Bombyx mori: one gene and its partner. The protein of the gene in region 1 interacts with the protein of each later gene in a pairwise test. Links are inferred from orthologs where the notes say so. Each region holds a gene or a part of one and is shown on either strand. Other genes may lie near its edges.

Region 1 (11,957 bases):
CAAATTTAGTAAAAATGATCCGAAATATATACATAGGTATTCTATTAGGGTAAGATTAAGTTCATCTTGTTTACATCGGGCTTACATGTCGTGTCTTAGCGTTTGTATAATCTATGGCATACAATAAAAACTATTTGACTTAAATTTACTAAATATTATAATAGTAGGTACATACCCGTGCAACTACCACATTAAAGAATGAATGAAATTCTCAATTCAGTTATATTTTTTTATATTGGTTAGGTACCTCAGAACTAAGATGTTAATGAAATGAATTGGAAAATTATTTTCACTGAAAAGGATCTACTTAAATAATTTCCAATTAGTTTCATATGAATTTCATCGTAATCCACAAAATCTGGTATTACATCAAAATTATTATGAATCTATGCCGTCCAATATTCGAAATATTGTGTTTTTTCTTTTAACTCGATATATAAATGACGTAGGTTTACCCTCTTTTAAAATTTGTATGTATGTATGTAATATATTTATTCATAAAAAGTTACACTTACATTCAATACATGCCCTGCAAAACTGCTTACGCAGTTTGACTGCAGGTAAATTGTGCTTATTATATCTCCATCGGCATGTAAATTCAAATTGACACCTTGTTTTCATGTTTTGGTGTACTCAAAACAAGTTTATGTAAATACTATATAGTACTAAACTTTTCGTAAATAGTGTATATTTGTATTATCTATACCAAAACCAAAGCGATTTTATGGTTGCGTCTGGCCCTTCTCTATGAAAATTCCAACTTGACAGATTTTGTGAATTTGTCGGAATTTGTCCTTCATCTGACATTTTAAAACTCCATCTTGTACTGAGCGTACGTGGTGGTGGTCAGTTATTCAACAAATTTTCTATAACTTGCCGGTAAGTTTATTTTATCATGTTTGTCAAGGTTAATTTTCAAAATTTTTTATGCATTATAACTAGTAACTACTTTATTATCTGTTTTACTTTGATACCAGGTCGCTGCGACCACGTAACAATTTCACGATCCATTTTCGTATTAAAAAACTTTAACTGAAAAAAAGCATAAGTCATAAAAGTTATTGATCCCAATAAAATCTACATGCTTAAATAGTAACTACAGAATCTTGTGATTAAGGTATTTGTTAAATTTTTGTGTGACCTCTACGTGACCTCCACGCGCCGGTACGCTCATCAATAAATTGGGTATTTCTTCAAAAAAGCTATATCATATGAGATTTAGTAACAAAAAATTCATCTATCGCGTATTATAGGAATAAAGTTTATTATATAAGAAAATAATATCCCATGAAACTTAACAATTTCGCTGAAAAATAAACAAATATAGTAAACTATTTTAATAAATTACTGTAATATACTAAATGTATCATTTATAATTATCACAACACATTTTTGGTCCTCTATTTTTTTTTAAATATCTTTTTTCTGTTTCATGTACAATTTTCCTACAGATTTAAAATTTACAGATTAATTTAGAATCTGAAACTGTAGTAGGTACTAACTAACCTATGTATTACTTTTTTAATTTATAAGTAACAAAAAATTTCATAAAATGTTTTAAAAATACTACAATTATATATAAAGAAAAGTAAATTGATTCTAACTAAATCTAGTTTTAATTTGTCTTTATTTTCATTGCAGATAACATGTCAAAAATTGGAATCAATGGATTTGGCCGCATTGGCCGTTTGGTGCTCCGTGCTTCTATTGAAAAGGGAGCTCAAGTGGTCGCTATAAATGACCCTTTCATCGGTCTTGACTATATGGTTTATCTTTTCAAGTATGATTCCACCCATGGCCGTTTTAAGGGCAGTGTTGAGGTTCAGGATGGATTCCTTGTTGTTAACGGTAACAAAATTGCCGTTTTCTCAGAAAGGGACCCTAAGGCCATTCCATGGGGAAAAGCTGGGGCTGAATATGTTGTAGAGTCTACTGGTGTCTTTACCACTACAGATAAAGCATCTGCTCACTTGGAGGGAGGTGCTAAAAAAGTTATTATATCAGCTCCCAGTGCTGATGCCCCCATGTTTGTTGTGGGTGTTAACCTAGAAGCTTATGACCCCTCTTTTAAGGTCATCTCAAATGCTTCTTGCACCACAAACTGTCTTGCCCCACTTGCAAAGGTTATTCATGATAACTTTGAAATTGTTGAGGGCTTGATGACTACTGTTCATGCCACAACTGCTACACAGAAAACTGTTGATGGACCTTCTGGAAAATTATGGCGTGATGGCCGTGGTGCTCAACAAAACATCATTCCTGCCTCTACTGGTGCTGCCAAAGCTGTGGGTAAGGTTATCCCTGCTCTTAATGGCAAGCTGACTGGAATGGCATTCCGCGTCCCTGTTGCTAATGTATCTGTTGTTGATCTAACTGTTCGTCTTGGAAAACCTGCAAGCTATGAAGCCATCAAGCAAAAGGTCAAGGAGGCAGCTGAAGGTCCTTTGAAGGGCATTCTCGGGTATACTGAAGATCAAGTTGTGTCCTCAGACTTCATTGGTGATTCACACTCTTCAATCTTTGATGCTGCCGCTGGAATTTCTTTGAATGACAACTTTGTGAAGCTGATCAGTTGGTACGACAATGAATATGGTTATTCCAGCAGAGTCATTGATCTCATCAAGTACATTCAATCTAAAGATTAAACTCTTGATCAAATGTATGAATGTAAGGATATTTTTCAACATGTACGTCGAGATTATCTATCGGCTTAAATATAAGTTAAGATTATTATTATTTTTTGTAAATTATTTTACTACTTTGAATAGTAGTACACTGCTTGTTATTTAGAAAATACTTATAGAAATGGTTTGCTATATTCAAGTATTTGACGAAATCACAAAAATAACTTATGCAGTTGCAAATAAAATATTCAATCAAGATTGTTTTTTATTACACAATCCTAAATATCATGTACTCATGAGCGATGATTCTTTTGGAAGATATTTGAAAAAATGGAAATCAGGAATGTGAAACATTAATTTTTTTAAACGTGACTCACTTATTAGTTACGGCGAGTGGTATATATATATGTTTTTATTGCCCTTGTAGGCAGACGAGCATACGGCCCACCTGATGTTGAGTGGTTACCGTTGCCCATGGACTTCAGCAATGCCAGGGGCAGAGCCAAGCCGCTGCCTACCGATATACGCCTGTATATTCGTATCTAGTGATTAACTCATCTTAAAGAATTAACTAAGATTTTTACGAACGACTCATGACAAAGGAATTACTTCTAATTATATTTTGTATTGCTTTATATAAGGAAGGTAGGGTAGTGTTATCCACTTCCAACTTCACAGAAGCATGCTTTACCACTAGTATCTAACAGAAAACTAAGTTTTTAAACTGGTGAAAGCATACCACTTGTGTTAGTGGAATGAAGAACTAGCCAGAGACAAAAATTATCCGTTTAAATTGTAGCGTTGCTTATTAACATAAATAAGATTATAGAGACGAGTACCTACCTACTAAAAGAAGGAAATCAATTTTGGTTAATTAAAAGTATTTATAGGTAGAAATCTGAAAATTTGTTAGAATGTACGCAGTTTCCTTCTTTTTCAATTCTTGCTTCTGGCAGGCCATTAAACAATATTTAGTTACGATGTGGGATTCGCTAAGCATTTAACACTGACCGTAAGCTTCTTTGCCTACAACGATTATATTTTATTTTAAATAAAAAAGAAAGACCAACAATGTTGAGTTTCGAATTTGGGAAGAAGATTGTCTTCTACACTGGACATTAGGCTATTTTCAGAACTAACATATTTTTTAGGATAGGTGTACAAACTTTCCTCCTAACATGATTAATGGAATGAATTCTCGGTATTTATATTACTGAAAATGAAAAATATGTAACGATTTGTTTACAACTACATATTATGTGTTTGAACCTTGTATAAGTAGGTACATATTATTTCTCATTAAAACATCAACGCTTGTGAAAATAGAGATTATAATGAAAATATGGTTCAATGTATAATTTTTAAATCCGCAACTTTATTATATTTTGAACAGAATATTCGGTTGGATTCTTTAGAATATCTCAAAAAACCTTTTACTGCGAAAGCTGATGTCATACACTACGAGTCTGAACCAGCCAAAGCAAGATGCATTCAACAATAACTTGAATATTATATGGGTTCGGACATGAACTCTCTTGCTGTACCTATATGTGAGTCGACTATTATCAAAGCCGGCAATGTGACTTTTGAACAATTATTGCTAAATCAGAAAAACGAATTATTGACTTTGTATTCCATTGGCAGTCACAAAACTCTTCTGAACGACATCTTAGATAAATAACAGGTTAAGTATTAACCTTTATTTCATGCAGGTTTTGAACCGTATTCTTTGAAGGAGACGATTATATTCAAATCAATCTGTATTGACATATCATTAACATGTTTTTGTCCAAATGCACAGATTGCCACCTTTGATAATGGACGATTCATGTATGCACGGTACGTTTCGATATAATAATATCATAACCCTGTCCTGGTGAAACTGGAAAGACCTCCGGACCACCAACAATGCTTTCGTCATATTAAGAATAATTTAATAAAAAAATATCATAACTCTTTGACAAGGCTGACTAACTTTAATTGCGTGACTGGGCTGAAAGACTGAAACAAATTGCTAAAGCACCCAGATCGAATATTGTGTTAGGTCTGTGGTCGTACAAATGATGGACGAAAGTCGCTTCAGCTGTCTTTGTTCTGTCAGTGACATTTCGTTTGCTTCGTGTAAATTTTGTGATGAGCAAGATACAAATCCATCTATTTACTAAGGAATATGGTTTTTATCAATAGATAATGATTACTTTTGTTGTACATTTAACCTGGAATTGATAAAAGTTATAGGAGTTTGTACAGTTGTTAAATTAATAAAATAATGGAGGATCTCAACTTGACAGAAACCGAAACAAGATATTTCGGTGATTTGTTTTTATGTTGTGATGAAGAATCTAATGGGAAAATACCAATTTTAAAAGCAACAGAACTATTTAGATCGTCGAACATATCCAATGATATTCTGAAACAGGTAATAAAATGAATAGGTTACACCCATTAAGTGATAACACAGGTTGTACATATAATATTGGTACATAACTTTGATATTTTTCAGATCATGGATATAAGCGTGTCTCCTAACAACTGTGCAACATTAAATCATATGAACAGGAAGCAATTTTACTCAGCACTTAAATTAATAGCTGCACATCAAACTAACATAGCACTTAAACCTGATCTTTTATCAACTCCTATTGATCTTCCACTGCCGAGGTTCACGTGGGCACTTAACTCAGAAGCTAATTCTGATTTAATACAGCTATCTAATTCTCCTAAAGAGCATCACATATCAAAACGTGAAAGAAATTTTGTTGGAAATATTAGTGCTTATGAACCAATAAGACTATCTTCTAATCTGTCTGATAGTGATGTTCCGCAGACATTGTCTCATGATGGGAATGAAGCACTCAGTACTGATTCTGAAATTGAGTCGGAAACAATGTCACAAAGATCTGGATCGCGTGGTGTAAGTTTGGGATAATTTTTTTATTCAATACTTGCTTGGATATCTTAAATCAATTGTAAGATTAAGTAAATAGTCCACAGAAAAACATCACACTAGGTAAATAAAATTTATTTCATTACTTATTCAAATTTAAAGTCTATATAGACTAAATGCCGCAAATAACAAAACCACAGCTTTATTAGTTTATTAGTTTGATACAAAGACCAAAAAAAGAGGATGTTATAAAACTTGATTACAAATCCAAATGGTTTTTTAATATTTTCAAACTTGTATCTGCAAACTTAATTTATAAATATTGGCATGATTCATTTGTCATATGTCGAATACATTCTGTTACAAATGAGATACATATAATTTCATATTTAGTTGTTTTTGTTGGTGTATGAATGAGTTTTAATTTTGTAGTAATATTGTGTTTTATACTCTAAGATATGCTAAAAAGAATAAGATAGTGTCTGTGACAGAGAGCAAATTAGTGATTTAGAATGACAAGTCTCTAAAAGTCATTAAAAATCCTAATGAAAGTAATGTAAATTATTAGAGTAATTGTTGGTCTTCTAGCTTTTCTAATATTAAGCAGTAGCACTAGATAATTCTGTTTTAGCTTATATTATTCTGGACTTATATTGAATTTCAGAATAAGTGACTGAATTATTTAACATCTGTAATATTAGCATTAACTTTTGCCTTATCATGTATGCATTGGTTATTGTGAATTGGAATTGAGTATTTGCCAGAAGATTATATTATTACTATTAATCTTCAAAATAGATGCATGAGATATTCTCTTATTAGAAGATAAAATTACCTCCAATCTCCTGTAGCTACTATTAATAAAGATTTTTATGAATATGCATTTCACACCAAAAATGCTTCTAAATTCAGTCTTTCTGTATTTCAAAATTTAATAAAAATGGTCTTGTACAGACTGACTCAGTGGTCTCAGTGACTGTTGCACCGAGGACATCCATCCAACATTGGGCAAATATTTGTGTGATGAACAGGTTATTTCTCTTTGTATGGGGCTTTATTATCTATATATGTTTATATGTAAACAAATATAGAAGTGTGTATGTCAGTCTCTTGTACCCATAACACAGGTAATCCTAATTTGGAGCCTGATGAGCATTGCATGATTTGTTCCCAGTTATTTATTATTATTATCATTTATCTCCAAATAATTTCATTAGCCTTCTGTAGCAATAGCACTCTATTTAACCAGTGTTTCCCGAGCGCTATGATATGTCCATCTTCAAACAAGGTTTGTGGAGAGTATTAAACGGTAGGCAGCGGCTTGGCTCTGCCCCTGGCATTGCTGACGTTCATGAGCGGCGGTAACCACTCACCATCAGGTGGGCCGTATGCTCGTCTGCCTTCTTTCTGGTCGTTCCCTCAATGCTGAGGATCGTGACTGTATGTCAATCTTCTCCACTCGGTCCGGTTCTGCGCCATATGTACCGCTCCCCATATCTGGCCTCCAGTCACCTCCTTGAGTTGGTCAACCCATCTAGCTGGCGCTCTTCCTCTAGCGCGCTTCCCCTCCATCTGTCCGAGAATTGTGAGTTTCTCCAGGCTGTGCAATGAGGATCGCATTATGTGCCCAAAGAAACTCCGGATCCTTTCCTGGCACATAGTCAGCAGGCGCTTGGTGACCTTCAGCTCTTCGAGGATGGAGACATTGGTTCTCATAGCTGTCGTCTGCCTATACGGCAATAAAAAAAAGAAAAAAAAAGCCTATCTCAAACTCTATTCTTCATTATTGTGTAACAGCAATCAAAGACAAAATATAGTATCTATGGGAGCTTTTGTAACTGCTTAATCAGATGCACCCTGGGTTGCCGATCTGCACTTAAAATAAAAGAAGAAAATATAATTGAAAAATGACAAATCTTAACAGCGGAGAGTGAAAACTGGGTCACCCTGGAGCACAGCGAGTGAAAGCCCAACCCCAACCAACAGCGTTGCCGAAAGAGTACACCCAGTTTGGGAACATAGTGCCACCGGTCGAGGAGTTTGGCCTACAAATACAGCTGAAGAACACACAAGACTTTTAGGTAAGTAGATTTCTACAACCATACATAATACACCCTTCACACTGGAACGGATGAATTTTTGGTGTAAATGAATGTAGATGTTGAATAAAGTTTGACTAACAAAGTGTTGTTTCTTCTGAACTGAACTTTATTTCATAGTTATTGGGTTGACCTTGTCATATTGTCCCATGTTGAGTACAAATTAATTGGTTAGTTAGTTATATTTTATATAGATAGACGTAAAATACCTCCCTCCTCCGTGCGTCGTATTCCTTAGTTCTGAGGGTCGTGACCTTTACTGAGCACTTTTGTTAGGACTATGTTCCTCCATTCACTTCTGTCCTCCGCGCAGTGTATAGCAACATTGATGCTGGATTCCAAAGTCGTCTTAATCTGATCGGACCAGCGCATGGGACTACGCCCCTTAGGCCTCTTTCCTTCCACTTTGCCGGTGATGAAGAAGTCTTTCAAGATTGTCACCCTTTTTACAAAATAACTAAAATACCTAAAAATACCTTATATAGATTTAGAAATTGATGTAATGTTTTTAATATTTTTTTAACATTTTAAGGCACAGAAGAAGAATCGTCCGATCGTCATTCATCTGAAGAGGATGGCGAGGGAGATACTTGCAATGACATCTGGTCTATCAGTGAGGCGCAGGCGCATCACTACGCGTCACAATTCTCACAATTGCGACCCGAACGAGGACTTCTGTCCGGACAAACTGCAAGGTACGTTCGAATGAACAAATAACAAGTTAAACCCAAAGTGAAAGTACTTAAAATAATTCATTATTGTATGTTTTTGACAGGCTATTTTTCGAGAAATCAAGACTTCCCGTACCCGATTTAAGAAAAATTTGGCAACTATCCGACATCGATAAAGATGGAATGCTTTCATTAGAGGAGTTCAGCATAGCCATGCATCTCATTGTATTGCGGCGGAACAATATTCCGGTACCGGAGATGCTACCCCCACCGCTCGTACCAAAGGTCGATTCGCGCTTCTCACAACGCGTCGTCACTACCGACCTCGTTGACCTCGGCGCCGAGATGTTCGGCTCGGGGACTTCAGCAGACTTCAATTTCGCACCGAAATCGGACAGTGGCGCTGATCCGTACGATGCCAAAACGAGTCGCCGGCCTGAGGAGCGCCATCCGTCGGCTTCGCCTCCAAAGGCGGACGCGCAGCCGAACAAAGAGTGGACGAAGTTCGTCGACTCTCCTACATCCAGCGTTTCGAGTCCCGGTCCGAAACCAGTGAACTTTGACTTCCAGCGCGCCGCCGTCGAACGAGATCCGAAAATTTTTCATCCGGTCGCGCTGCGGGTTACACCAGAAGCTTCAGCCGGCGACGGGGACTCCCGCGCCTCCGCCTCCCCGCGGCGGGACGACGTTGCACTCGCTTTTGAGCTCGCCAGCCCCAAGCGTCCTGCCGAAACAAACGCTTCCGCCGCCGATACCCGACCTGTGCAGAGACCCCAACCACGAAAACCAGTGAAAGGGACGGGAGCTCTGCCCCCTCCTCCGACTCGCGAACCTATCGCCGCAGCAGACGAGGGGCCCGCTTCGTTGCAACCGTTGCCACGCAAAGAACCGCCACCACCGCCGCCGCCGCGTCCGCTCCGCAACCACGCACGCTCTAGTTCGCTGGACCTCACGCGTCTCAAGGGTGCACCTCCGCAGCCGCCGCCGAGGGACCCGCCCGCCGACGTACCGCCCGAGTACGAAGCCGAGGGGTTCGGGTACAATCGGGAGGACGCGGCGCGTTCCCAGGGTGCCTTCGAGGTTTACCGGCGTGCCTCTCGTGAGCCCTCTGCGGACACGGAGCCGGATGTGAAGGCGCTGCAGGAGCAGAACGCCGTGTTGCACCGCGTGTGCCGCGCGCTCATTGCCGAGCTGGCGGACGTGCAAAGGGACCGCGAGCTATTAAGGGTGCGTCTCCACCCACGCTCCCCACCGCTCTAGTCGAAGAGCCTCTTTCGTGCAGACGGTGGATGTTTTTCAGCGCTCTCCGCCGCTTAGTAGCTTCCTCTGTCCGGTTGATGTTCAACCGCACGCCCCACTGCCGTAATTGAGGAGCCTCCCCCGTGCGGTCGGTTAATATACACCCGCCCACCCCGCCACTGTAGTTGAGGAGCCTCCCGTGCGGTCGGTTGACGTCCAACCGCATGCCCCATTACTGTTATTGAGGAGCCTCCCCCGTGCGGTCTGTTGATATCTACCCGCGCACTCCGCCACTGTAGTTACGGAGCCTCCTCCGGGCGGTCGGTTGATGTCCATCCGCGCGCCCCACCATTGTAGTTTAAGAGCCTCCTGCGTGCAGCCGTTAAGTCTCTAACCGCGATCCCCATCGCTCTAGTCCAAGAGCCTCCTACGTGCGGTCGGTGGGTCCACCAGTCGCGCTTTTCACCGCTCTAGTCTGGGGCCTCCACGGATTCGATGGGAGTTGGTTATTTTGAAACGTGCGCGGAAACATACAAACAAAGCGAATGTTGTTGCATTTAGTATTTTATATTGCCTCGATCCGGCATCGTCACCGTCGTGTTTCCCTTCAAAAGACCCCGACGGATGGTTGTATTAATGAAACGACACGACACGAATAATGCTTTTTCAACAAACAAAAAAACAATCAAAATGAAACGTCGTCGTGTATGTACATTTTAATAATTTGTTAAATTTAGAGGCTATATTAATAACTTCATATTCTATGCATTGTAATCATCTAGATTATTCTAGATCATTCATTTTTCTCATTCATTCACGTACTAAGACGGGTGCCGTTTATATTTAAAATATTTACCGCCACGCCGACGCCATAAATTCATTATTAGTACATATTTTTATACAAATCGCGGCGACCTGATTCTGAATGTTCTTAAAGTACATAGAAGTGAATTGAAATTAATTTTGATTTGATTAAAGGTCATTCTGTGTGCCAATGTTCAAAAACAGTTTCATCAGATCCGTAGAGTTAGCGCAGAAGACGCGACGCTTGTGAGCATTCCTTATTTTTCATTCGCTTCGTCATTCATTGTGATAATGAACTAACACAAATAGAATATTTTATATTCCCTGTGAACATTGTATTATATGTATCGGTTTAGTGTAGTGTAAAAAGCATCTGGTGTTTTATTTAATTAAGTGAAAAAAATATAAATTCATAGAGATTTTTCATTTACTCGTGACGTTTTCGATATCGGCATTTTAACGTTTTTAAAGTGATTAATATACATTAAAAATGTCGAAAGAATCTTGTATTATATAATATGAAAAGAGTATTCAGTTTTTTTTAATCTCTTTCTGTGAGTCCTGTAGTTAGAAAAGTGGTCACAGTGTAAATATAATATGTATTTGGTTTATCAATCGAGATGCGTCTGTCGAAGCTTAATAATAAATAAATAACCCACAGATCATAAAATATATCGATTTAAATTTTGGTCCAATTTTTGTACTGTTTTATTGTTCACCATATTAACCTATTTATGTTTATTAAAACAAATTTACTGTACTGCTTTTTAAAATATTATTGTAGCAAATTATGTACAATAAAATTATTTAAAAATTATTTATTTGGTTTATTTTTAAAGTAGGTATGTATTTGTTATTTGGTTTCCTTTTTTTTCTTGCCCTTGTAGGCAGACGTGCATACGGCCCACCTGATAGTGAGTGGTTACCGTCGCCCATGGACTTCAGCAATGCCAGGGGCAGAACTAAGCCGCTGCCTACCGTTAAATTGTTTGTTATTTATAGGTGAATTGATTGAGGTGGTCTGATTAACTGCCTTACTAAAAAGAAAAAGAACCAAAGTGTGCTCAATTGTACTTTGATGTATTGGCGTGTACAGGTAGGCACTACCACTGTTCCAAATTCTGCCGCCAATCATTAATTAAGCGAGGCACTTTTTGTTTTTCCTACCTTTGCTAGTGACCTCGAGGGGTCATACTAGATGCACCGAGCGAGTAGGTGAGTTCACGGGGCTTCTAAGCACGACAATCTAATACAGTTATTGAGATTTTCGAACTCATGTCTCCAGATGGGTGATGGCATCCACGTTCTGATGTCTACAGACTCCGGTAACCACTATAAAAATGAGCAGAGATCTCAATCGACTGGATAGTTCGAGCAAAAGCAAAACTACATCACCGTCAATACAATATAGAGTTTATCAAAAAATCGATGTTCCACAGCGATAAGTGTTGTAACTGTAGCCCTGATATTACAAGCATCGACGGTTCGATTGCACCGCGTCTGATAACGTGCTGCGGTGATAATAATGATAACAAACGAGTACTGCGTGCGCCGGCTAACGAGCACCGGACACCGAACTCGACCTCTCGTCGGTAGTTTCTCTTTCTTTCCCGCCGCTGTTCCGTAGCGCATA
Region 2 (11,957 bases), on another chromosome or scaffold:
TTTTAATCTTTTGTTTTTTTTTATGTCGTTACATTATTTTCGATTTATGTTTCGAACACATCACAGTTTTTTGTGGTTCACTGACGACTATATGAATGTTACAATTTTTATTGTCTATAAGACAATGAAAAACTCAAAATTAAACCATAAAAGGCGTTTTATTCTGTCCGAGACTTGCGAAATCTGAGGAAAATTTGTTCCATTGACTTTAAATTTTGTAATAAGTACTTATCAAGGAACGATAACAATTTAAAATTTTAATACTTTAATCAAGTCCTTGCGAGAATCGCCAGGTTAAAAAACATTACTAAAACGCATTTTTAAGGTTTTAAACTACAACTCAAACATCAGACTCACCTCACACTTTCTAACTGCTCAATCAAAAATTTACTTTCTTCGTTTATATTCAGTCCGTTTTGTAATGATTTAATCTCATCATCTTTGGCGTGTAACATACTTTTCACTCTTACTTTATATGTCTCCCAATCTTTTTCCAATCTGTGGCATTCAGCATTCGACTTGCCTAAATTGTATTGTAATTCAGTTATGGTTGATTGTGCATGCCGTAACTCGGATTCTAATTTTAAATGGGTCGTTTCTTTTTCATTCGTTTTTTCTGTAAGCTCTTTTATCCTGAAAAATTACATAGAAAATAAAAGGGAATTTAAAAAAGTGTTTTGTCTTTGCCAATTTATATGTGCATTTATTGAATAGTATGAAAATATCTATCCCACTCAAGATAAGGTTGGCCACTACACGTGAAGCATTTAAGACAAGGGTTCAAGAACTGTTTCTCAGAGAGTTAGCAGAGTCAACTAATTGATATTTATTTATATATATTTATATTAGTATATATTGATATATATGTATTTATTTAAGTATGAGTATTTGTGTCTATAAATGTTATGTATGTTATATATATGTTTAAGTACCTAATATTCATCTCTGCATCCCCCTAAGGTAGACTGTCAGAGAATGCCCATGGCATTAAGTCCACCTATAAACTGTCAAGTATATAAAGTTATAAAGAAATATCTATAGAATCTGAAAACCACTTAGCACCAGGTCAGTCATGAACTTGCCTATGAATTATAAAATGAAAACAAACATTTTCCCCTGAATATAAACTTTTACTTCTATACCAAATTTGATAATTGATTCAAACCTATCTTCTAATTCAGTATTTTGATCCTTTTGCGCACACAGCTCATTTTCCAAAATCCGAATCCTCTCTTTATGATTAACAACTTCAATGTTCACCAAATCATCCACTTTTCGCTTTATCTGTTCCAGTTGAGCTCTCAATGAATCTTTTTCAGAACTAACATCATTATTTTCTTGCTTAGCCAATTTAATTTCAGTTTGTATACTATTGAATTCTGTAAATTAAGACAGGTTTTAATTTACGAGTATATGGATAAGAACGACATATGGCATATGTCACCAGAATTAATAAATTTCACAACCAGTCTTCAAAACTATAACATATCACTTAATTATGCTATTCTACAAACAATAATTAGTAATACTGTATATCAATTTATAAAAGAATATTGAGAAATAAGCATATTTATTTCACAAACAAATCAATTTCATAAATTTATTATAAATTAAAGTTACAGAATTCACCAATTTAAGACTTGTAAGTCTCTATAATTCAAATAATTGACTACAAAGCATACATACACAATTTCCAATCAATGCAAAAAAAAATTAATTATTCCACACTTTGTAGAACATAAAACAATTAATATGAAGCTGTTTAAATTGAAATACCTGCATGACCATTAGCTACTTTCTCTACTTTATTACCATCCTGTGTTTTGCGGAGTTTCTCAAGCAAATCTGCGACTTCTCTATTCAACACATTGAGTTCATTTTTCAACATCACATTTTCAACTTCCAAATTTTGCATTCTGTACGTCCATTCTTCATCACTTACTATTTCTAGGTCAACTGGCAAACTATGTCCTGAGGACAATGTTTTAATTGGGTTTATAGTTTATCAAAAGGAAATAATGATAATATTGCAGGTATACTATCTTGATTTAGCTCAATACTAAATGAATACATTATATGCATTGTGTACATATAGTAAGAAGCAGAGACCATGACTTCTTCATGACTTTTCAACCAAATTCTTTAAGTCATTAATGTTTCATTTATTGTGAAGGCCTATTATGTATTTTTCTAACACGTATGGAGCTTATGACTTATGCTGATTTAAAAAATATTAAACAGCAAATATGAAACAGTTAATCAATATTTTTAAACACTAAGAAACAAGAAAATAATACTTTGTCTAATTAACATGGACAAATGCTATTAATTCTAGTCTTGATGGGATTAATAAAGTAGCTTCCTATATCAATTTTTGCCTGATTTTAATGCACAACCATTCTTAAGCAAAACACTGCTGGTTCAATTTAGACCACCAGTCTACCAAGCAATATCACCCACTCTGTGGAAGATCATCCATTGTTTACTGGTGGTAGAACTTCTTGTGTCCGCAAGTGTAGGTACCACCACCCTGCCTATTTCTGCCAAGAAGCAGTAATGCATTTTGGTTTGAAGGTCAGGGCAGCCATTGTACCATTAAAAGTGTGAGACCTTAGAACTCATGTTTCAAGGTGGGTGGCAGCATTTACATTGTAGATGTCTATGGGCTCCTGTAATCACTTAGCACCAGGTGGACCGTGAGCTCGTCCACCAACCTAACCTATAAAAAAATTAAAAATAAGAAAAAAATTTTATTTATTTATTTTATTGTCACCAGCATCTCCAACTATTTTTAATTGCAGAAACTTGCAACCAACGTTAACAAATTTAAAATACTTACTTCTTTGCCTCAAACCAAAATGGTCAGTATTGCTACCTTTAGTATCACAGACTAATGTATCAGGACAGTTGTCCAAGGTATACTGGTTAGATTTTTTTAAGGGTTTCTTCGTTTTTACAACTCCATTTCTTACTGGCTCTTGATTGCCTTTTACAGGAGATTTATTCAAATTCTGTATAGGAGAAATCTTTCGAGCAGGAGTGTAATTTGAACGTGGCTCGGGAACGGGTGAAATTTTCTTTAAATTTCGTGGTATTGGCCTTTTTCTTTGGTTCCAGGAAGGGTCTGGATGTAAGATAAAATCGGAGTTTTCTTGTTTACGTGCCTTCACAACATTGTGATTGCGTAGGGCTGCTCCTGTTTGCTCGTCTAAATTATTAAGAAGTGTCTCAGCTTTTCCAGCTAAGTCCGCAAACCAAGCCATTTTAATTTATTTTTTGAAAGCCTGAAAATTTTTCTGCACAGTAAATTATTAATAATCTTAATTCGAAGCGATGATTACATAATTATTATATTTTTAATTACAAAACAGAGACTGATCGAGATTTATGTACCCAAATTTTGCGCAGTTTTACACGTCTCGTTTTTAGTGATAATTTATGAAGAACATAAACAGTCATGACGATCACAACTGTAGTGTGTTTAATAAGTAAATTTTGTATTGTTTATAAAATCCATAATACTGTTTAAGTAAGCTGTGTTAAAATTAAATTTTATCAGAAAACAATTTAGAGCATTATTTAGACACGTAAAACTTAATGTCAATTTGATCTTTTCGTTTTTTCGCACATGAGAGCAAAGGTAACTTGCCCAATCGCATCAATTGCAACACGCATCAATTGCATGTGAATACTAGCTTTTGCCCGCGACTTCGTTAGCGTGGAGTAGTTACTTTGGCATAACGCTAAATTATACCCACCTCTTCATTTAAGTAGAAAGTGAAAATATTTTTGAATAATAGAAAATGTTAAAGAGCTATTTAAAGTACCAAAATCACGCTTTTTAACCGACTTCAAACGAGGAAGTTATCAATTCGACCATAATTTTTTATCTATGTATGTTCACCGATTTCTCGAGAATGCTTGAACCAATTCTGATAATTCTTTTTTCTTTTTTTGTTCGAAAGGGTATACTTCCCGAATGGTCCTGTATTCATCAAGATTTAATGATAGGATCCTGGAAAAATCTAGAAAAATCTATAATTGTCAAAGCCTATCTTGAAGTGATTTGGGTGTTTCAATGTTGTAATGAATAACATATTTGTTTGGATAGGGATTAATATAATCTTTATAAAAACACCTTCACAAATAATGCTTTATTTTAGAAGAAACTTGATTAGCATAAAAAACGTAATAGTGAGCCAACCTTTAAATATACACATATGCTGTTACGGAATTTTTTTTTAACTTTTAAAAGAGAACACTTTTGTCATACATTATTTTAGCGTAACTTTAACCATTTCCGCAGCGCATGCAGCAGAACCTCTCAAAAGGGAAAATACCACGATTTAGAAGCATTCTTTATTGCTGCTCCGCTTGCATTGGTCTTAGCGTGATGTTATATAGCCTATAGCCTTCCTCGATTAATGAGCTATCTGACACGGGTTTTTTTTTTTTTTTTTTTTGTTGCTTAGATGTGTGGACGAGCTCACAGCCCACCTGGTGTTAAGTGGTTACTGGAGCCCATAGACATCTACAACGTAAATGCGCCACACACCTTGAGATATAGTTCTAAGGTCTCAGTATAGTCACAACGGCTGCCCCACCCTTTAAACCGAAACGCATTACTGCTTCACGGCAGAAATAGGCGGGGCGGTGGTTACTTACCCGTGCGGACTCACAAGAGGTCCTACCACCAGTAATTACGCAAATTATAATTTTGCGGGTTTGATTTTTATTGCACGATGTTATTCCTTCACCGTGGAAGTCAATCGTGAACATTTGTTGAGTACGTATTTCATTAGAAAAATTTGTACCCGCCAGCGAGATTCGAACACCAGTGCATCGCTCGATACGAATGCACTGGACGTCTTATCCTTTAGGCCACGACGACTTCATAAAAAATTTCTCGCCGGATCTTCTCAGTGGGTCGCGTTTCCGATCCGGTGGTAGATTCTGCGATGCACGGCTCTTGCTAGGGTTCGTGTTAGCAACGTCGTCAGGTTTGAGCCCCGTAAGCTCATCTGCTAGTTAAGGTTACGCCGATATAGCCTCTCAAGGCTCTCAGCTTAGGTAGGAAAAAAAAGATCGATTTATTCGACACTCGTAACTATTTGATAAGATTATAAGGATAAATTCTAAGACGGAAGTTAAAATATTATTTTACGCTGCTCTGTTAAGTTTGTTACCGAAAATACCATTGTTCAAACATTTTATCAGGTATGTTTAGGTACAGTGCATGGATAATACACTGAATATTTAATATTTACATTATTTTATTTAAGACGGGTTAATTTTTATATAACTTACTTTCTCTCTGTTTAAAAAACCTGAAAAGTTCTAAGAAGATAATATTATTTTAATGGTTACATTACTTCCTTGAGACTGTGTGGGCTACGTTCCCTTTACCTGTCGAACTGAACAAAATAAACGAAAATATTTATTTTTTTTAAGAGATTTTATGACCTGGTAACTAAGACCTTTAAGTCATGTCTTATTTTACTTTATTTTCTTAATTTTATGAAAAATGATAATATGGAGTGAAATGAAATGAAGATGATTAATTTGAGACATTAATCAACTGGGATGAAATTTAATGAAATGAGATGATATGGGATGAAATATAATCGCAGTAAAATGGTGGTCATTTACTGAGATTTTTTCAGTGGACTTTTTGGAGGAACCCGAGAAGTTACGTCCAGCAGCTTTGTTTCATTTTCCCACATTTGTGCACTTTCACAGATATTAAACAGTTAATAAACCACCATTATTACACATTTAAACCTGAAGAAACACTAAATAGACAAAATAAAACAAATCACACAACTTCACTCCTCGCGTTCCCGCCAAAAAGTCCAACGAAATTATGTGTTTGTTTGTGTAGTGCATAGATTATACACATAAGTGTAGTGTATTATATATTGGTATTTTGTAATAATTTATAAAAATATAATAATAAACGAAAATATGTACAAATAAACGACTTATTAAAACAAAGTGACATACCAATAAAAATGGATTTTGAAAGTCCAGATGTTGAAAAGGATTTCCCCGGTTTATACGCTTCAGAAAGTGGACGTAAAAGCAATGAAAGTGACTGTAAGTATTATCTGTTTTTGTACACAATTTACCCAAAATTGTGAAGCACAAATCCCTACTATTACGAAGTTTTTAAACTAAATCAAATGAAAAGGATATTTTTACAATAACAAGGTAAAAATCTTTAACTCAATAACATAAGTGTCTATTTCTTTTAGTCGGTTTTATTAAATTGCGAATAATCGAAACTTGTTGATACATATTTATTTTTTAAATTATAGTTAGCGATGGTGCAGAACACGAAAAACCAAGTAAGAAAGACTTGCTAGGACGCAGGAAAGAGAAGAAAGAATCTAAAAAAGATAGAGGTTATGCAGCACTGGAAGGAGAGAGTTCACCTGAAGAAGACACTGATACTAAGTTAGTGCATTAGAAATGTAACTTAAAATTCAATTTTCACACTCAGTTGTGAAGTCCTGGTTTCAAACAAATGAAACACATTAGAATAATATGAACAGCTTCGAGAATCTAATGACAAAATGCCAGTGCATACCTTGTTACTAATGCTGCCAAATTCCTTATCCTTCCTTATCTATATACTCCAGTAGTTCCCGAGTAATATACTTTTTAAGATTAGATTGATTTTATGAGTAAATGTGTGCAGCAATATCTTGTAGTGTCTAAAAAGTTAAATAGTCAACAGGTGGGCTGTGATAATATGATTTGTTTAAATCTGTAGAAAATAAAAAAGTCAATGTTTGACTGTGCTTCATCGTCTTTGTAGGAGAATCCTTTTTTTTTTTTGCTTAGGTGTACGGACGATCTCACAGCCCACCTGGTGTTAAGTGGTTACTGGAACCCATAGACATTTACAACGTAAATGCGCCACCGACCTTGAGATATAAGTTCTTAGATCTCAGTATAGTTACAACGGCTGCCCTACCCTTCAAACCGAAACCCATTACTGCTTCACGGCAGAAATAGGCAGGGCGGTGGTACCTACCCGTGCGGGCTCACAAGAGGTCCTACCACCAGTAATATAATTCTCGCATAATGCACTTGTATGACCACATATAACATGTTATGTACAAATTTAATATACATAGAAATACAATACAATATAACCAATGTTTTTACAATTCTAAAACTAGGAACACAAATTTAATAAACAAATTATACTTTATTTTGTAACAACACAATTGACACACTTATTACAGGTGGTAGAACCTCTTGTGAGTTTGCACGGATAGGTACCACCGCCCTGGTTATATCTGCTGCTAAGCAGTAATGCACATAACACCAGGTGGGCTTTGAGCTTGTCTACATTTCTATGCAATAAAAAAAAAGGGCAATGGTACTTGAAATTAATTATGATGTAATGAATCATATGATAATGTAGAGTAAATATTATAATGTACAAATCATTATAAATTTCACAGGACTGAAATATAATATGTGAAATCCCCAGGTTATATGCTGGAATACCCGTGTTATAAGAGAGACTGAAATCACCTATTTTAAGAGTATGTGTTATAAGGGGATTACTGTATTATGACATAAATTATTGACTATGGTAAAAATAGTCACGAATACACATATACATGCATAACAAACTGTAGTAAAATACTTAATTAAAGTCTTCTTATGACATCAATGACCTGATTGCTAGGCCTGGTCAGTCATACTCCATACTTTATGTCTAATTATCATCTTTTAATAAATTGTTGATGGAAAGGCCCCCTGAGTTGCACAATATATTGACAGACCTTGGAAAGCCACATCATTTTCATTACCACAGGCTCCATTAACCAGTCAACAAGATATGGGACGTCAACTTGAATAACTATTTATATTAACCATAAAATTGTTAATAATATAACAATAACAGAGCATTTGTTCTGTATATATATTCTGCGTGAGTATTTATGATAATAATATCTATTTAATCCAACAGAAGTCCATCGAAATCTAAGAAGACAAAGTCATTCAAGTTCCCAACCAAAAGCAAAGAAAAGCGTGAAAAATCCCGAGATAAAGAAAAAGTTTTAGAAGAAACAGTTAAACATAAAGAAGTAACAGAAAAAGATAAGAAAAAAGAAAAGGAAAGGGAGAAAGAGAAGAAGGAAAAGGAGAAAAAGAAAGAAAAAGATAAGGTAATAATATAAATTTTAATGCGTAACAATATGGTTTTAATACACGGTAATAATGCTGTTTGACCCTTCCAACCATGACTTGACCATCTTGACAACTTCCAGAAACTAACTAACTTTCTATAAGCATAACATGACTGTCAAACGTTAGTTGACATGGACCACTCATGGCTAATTTAATTGTGAGTAATCACCCTGGCTCATTGGCGTTCTACTGAGGACCCTCGTCAACCATAAAGAAGGACATGTTGTCAGTATTAGAAGAAAACTTAGTGAATATTCATACCGAAAAATAAAGTGAAAAAGACATGAATAGCTCAGTTATTTATATTTTTATTCCAATCTATTTAAGATACAGTAGTAGTGCAGGTTAATGATATCAGTAGATATTATCCACGCTACTGATTTACAGCCATTGCATCAAACAGAATAGACCTTGATGGCACAAACAGAAATTTCCCTGAATTGCCAATGATCGTATTATGTTTCAACTCACATAGACTAATGTTTGTGAACGCATAAAAATAAAATTTTAATATTAAGTCTCTTTAATTTGCCAAGAAGCCCACCTTATGCGTAGTTTTTAGCATCCCATATTGACTTATCAACACCAGGTACACAGGCAAACCGCTGACCTTCGAATTCAGTCTTGACTTTAAACTAGTCTTCAATCTGCACAAAATGGCTAAATAATATCCTTTATATTTGCAACATGCATCGAAATACCGTGACTCATTACTCTAAAATAATTCGTTACCACCTTATTGCCAAAAGGGATAATAAACTCATAATTATCCGACTTTAAAAAAAAATATGTATATTTATTTGTACAATATGAAATGACTTTATATTGAGAGTACCATTCACTTTATTTGTTATTCAAATATTCAATCTTATTTACTCAATACTAAATGTTTCATTTTCGCGCTTCAGCGCTTGATACCTTTTTGCATAATTTTGCGGTTGCCTTTATACGCTGGCCAATTTGCGTTGACACTTGGTTAGCGAGACCGTCATTAGTACACGTGGGTCTATGAAAATTATAAAGGTTGTAGGTGTTCGGCCTTGGATGGATGTGGTCGTGTCATGGTTTATTCAGTTGTATCTTGAAATCGCGTCATGCATCACCTACGTAGCGTGTTTACGAAGGTACAAAATCGATTGTTAAACAAACTTTTGTGTGTTACGCGGAAATTTTATTAATGTTTTATTTACTTCATGTTTTTAATATTCTAATAAAGATATCGAAATTAGTGCTACATAAAATGAATAAAAATGAAAACGTAAACAGACAGTAAAATGAATTTATAAATCAACTGTCGGTGCATTTATTGAAAAATATTAAAGTCCGTCATTGGTGTTTGAAAGTGAAATATGTGTAGTACTTACCTACTTAAAAACTTAACTTGATAAGTTAAATTTAATTAATATCAGTGTTAAAAATATTGCACAGTTAATTAAATCAAATCAAAAAAAATCAAAAAAAAATTTATTCAACATAAATGAAAGTACATACTTGTTGAACGTCAAATATCGGTAATGTTTTCGAAAAGACATTTGTGTCCTAGAACAATATCCGCGGAAAATTTGTGTAGTTACCTGCATTTTATTTTATCGTAACACAAGATTATCAGTGAACAAACAAGTTTTAAACAAACAAGATATATATTTAGTCTAATGTCCGGTGTTTTAATGTATGTCATCATAATGTGACTTCAGAATTTTGTTTGCAATAACAAATAATATTTCGCAATTATTTCGTAAAGCTACGCTCACTCAAGTAAAATGAAAATCAATTCTGGTTGTTGTTTATTGAATTATTGTTTACTGGTGGTAGGACCTCTTGTGAGTCCGCACGGGTAGGTACCACCGCCCCGCCTATTTCTGCCGTGAAGCAGTAATGCGTTTCGGTTTGAAGGGTGGGGCAGCCGTTGTGACTATACTGAGACCTTAAAACTATATCTCAAGGTGTGTGGCGCATTTACGTTGTAGGTGTCTATGGGCTCCAGTAACCACTTAACACCAGGTGGGCTGTGAGCTCGTCCACACATCTAAGCAATAAAAAAAAAAAAAAAAAAAAAAAATTAAATTAAAAAAAATAACAAGTAGAAAACCAAAACCGAAAGAAATGCATTTGTTTGATATATGTACAGACGACTGCACAAGTACATGGACACCACCTTAAGGTCTATATTCGCTTGAACACGCCGTTTCTCTTTTTCCGTTTTGGTTTGAATCTGTCCGTGCACCTTTGCTGGGTATAGTACATAATATGTGTTCGTGTTTCCATTTTGGCGAAATTGCAAATATCTTTCAAACTAATATATCATCTACTGACGACTCCCAACAGGCTCCAAACGGCGTCTTTGTTAATATTATATGTACGTCAGTTTGAGATGATCCCCTCATCTCCTTTTTATCATCGCACATCCCGCCATCGGAGCAGAGTTCATCCATATCATCTGGAACCGCTGCGTTCATCGACAGTGCGTTTCCAGAGGTATTTTTTGCCACGTACCACCCGGCTATGGAATGAGCTCCCCTCCACGGTGTTTCCTGAGCGCTATGACATGTCCTTCTGTAAAAGAGGCTTGTGGAGAGTATTAAGCGGTAGGCAGCGGCTTGGCTCTACGCCTGGCATTGCTGAAGTCCATGGGCGACGGTAACCACTCACCATCAGGTGGGCCGTATGCTCGTCTGCCTACAAGGGCAATAAAATAAAATAAAATAAAAACGTTAGGTCCACATTACCAGAGTTGACTTTCAGTGAAATCGAATGGCTTAACGATACGGGTCTCGTCTCGAATCCGCGATCTCGCGATCGATTGGAACGCAAAATGCAATTGAGTCGCGTGTGCGTTTAAATATAGGCCGTCGACAACCCAATCCAGTAACAGACCAAGTTATTTATTTTAGGTGAGATTTGAGTATGTCAGAACCAGATGTTAATCCAGACCAAACTAGGTCACCTATTTAACGTTTATATGATTATGTACTATTTAGTTGAACGTAAAACGCATATATGTGAAGACTATCGCGGCTTAGATAAATGAGCTAAACCTTGATTGAAGAATTTCTTTTATCTCGCCTTGTATCTTGTATGCGTTGCACATATTTATCTGTTTGTTGTTTACAGTTTACAAAACGTCGTATCTATACAAACATACAAATCGACGCTTGAAATGCAAACGTGACTAAGCGACAATAGCTGCTTTGTACATAAATGATAGGCAATAACCATATTCGATGCGCAAAAAAATATATATTTCTAGGTCTATTAAAATCATTTCAATCCTACAGCTAGATTATAGCCTACAGCTAAGTATATTTTAAATTGATTTCAACTTTAAATTAGTCTACTGTAAAGTTCACGCAATGCCGCTTAGTCACGTTTGCCTTTCAAGCGTCGATATGTATGTAAATATAGTTGTAATCTTCGAAGTGTGTTTAATATCTTTACGCACGGTACGTAGAAAACTGAAAATACATTAATTTCACCTTACTGTTTCGTGAAGTATATAATAACTATGATCTTAATACCTAAAGTAGTTAGTACACAAATCAAATATTGACATCTCCCGTTCTGTGGTATTTTCCTCCCAAAGTTTTATGAACGACTAGCGGACCGCTCCGGCTCCGCTCGGATTTTTAACAAAAATTTCAACGGTATTTGACGTTTTATTTTTTTTATAAAAGAACACCTATTGCGGCATAACTATAATAGTCAGACATATGTTTTTCGCGACACATTTTGTAAATAATAATGTGTTC

Evidence for each region.
Region 2: the proteins of ralBP1-associated Eps domain-containing protein 1 (region 1) and ralA-binding protein 1 interact in binary tests that used the Homo sapiens proteins (3 or more experiments, as listed by UniProt). The link is inferred for Bombyx mori from reciprocal best matches to the Homo sapiens genes REPS1 and RALBP1.

Annotation. Positions count from the first base shown.
Region 1 is NC_085109.1:4,005,881-4,017,837, forward strand, and holds ralBP1-associated Eps domain-containing protein 1, read left to right. Parts: upstream 1-4,666; 5' UTR 4,667-4,893; coding exon 4,894-5,043; intron 5,044-5,127; coding exon 5,128-5,538; intron 5,539-7,435; coding exon 7,436-7,592; intron 7,593-8,142; coding exon 8,143-8,305; intron 8,306-8,385; coding exon 8,386-9,541; 3' UTR 9,542-11,141; downstream 11,142-11,957. Other genes in the region: uncharacterized protein LOC101742449, read right to left, coding at 1-34; glyceraldehyde-3-phosphate dehydrogenase, read left to right, coding at 1,647-2,645. UniProt on the Homo sapiens protein: May coordinate the cellular actions of activated EGF receptors and Ral-GTPases.
Region 2 is NC_085113.1:5,999,007-6,010,963, reverse strand, and holds the start of ralA-binding protein 1, read left to right. Parts: upstream 1-5,513; 5' UTR 5,514-6,011; coding exon 6,012-6,096; intron 6,097-6,317; coding exon 6,318-6,456; intron 6,457-7,990; coding exon 7,991-8,189; intron 8,190-8,329; exon of another isoform or gene 8,330-9,305; coding exon of another isoform or gene 9,306-9,335; intron 9,336-10,442; exon of another isoform or gene 10,443-11,561; coding exon of another isoform or gene 11,562-11,651; intron 11,652-11,957. Other genes in the region: golgin subfamily A member 5, read right to left, coding at 358-633, 1,166-1,379, 1,777-1,971, 2,840-3,263. UniProt on the Homo sapiens protein: Multifunctional protein that functions as a downstream effector of RALA and RALB. As a GTPase-activating protein/GAP can inactivate CDC42 and RAC1 by stimulating their GTPase activity.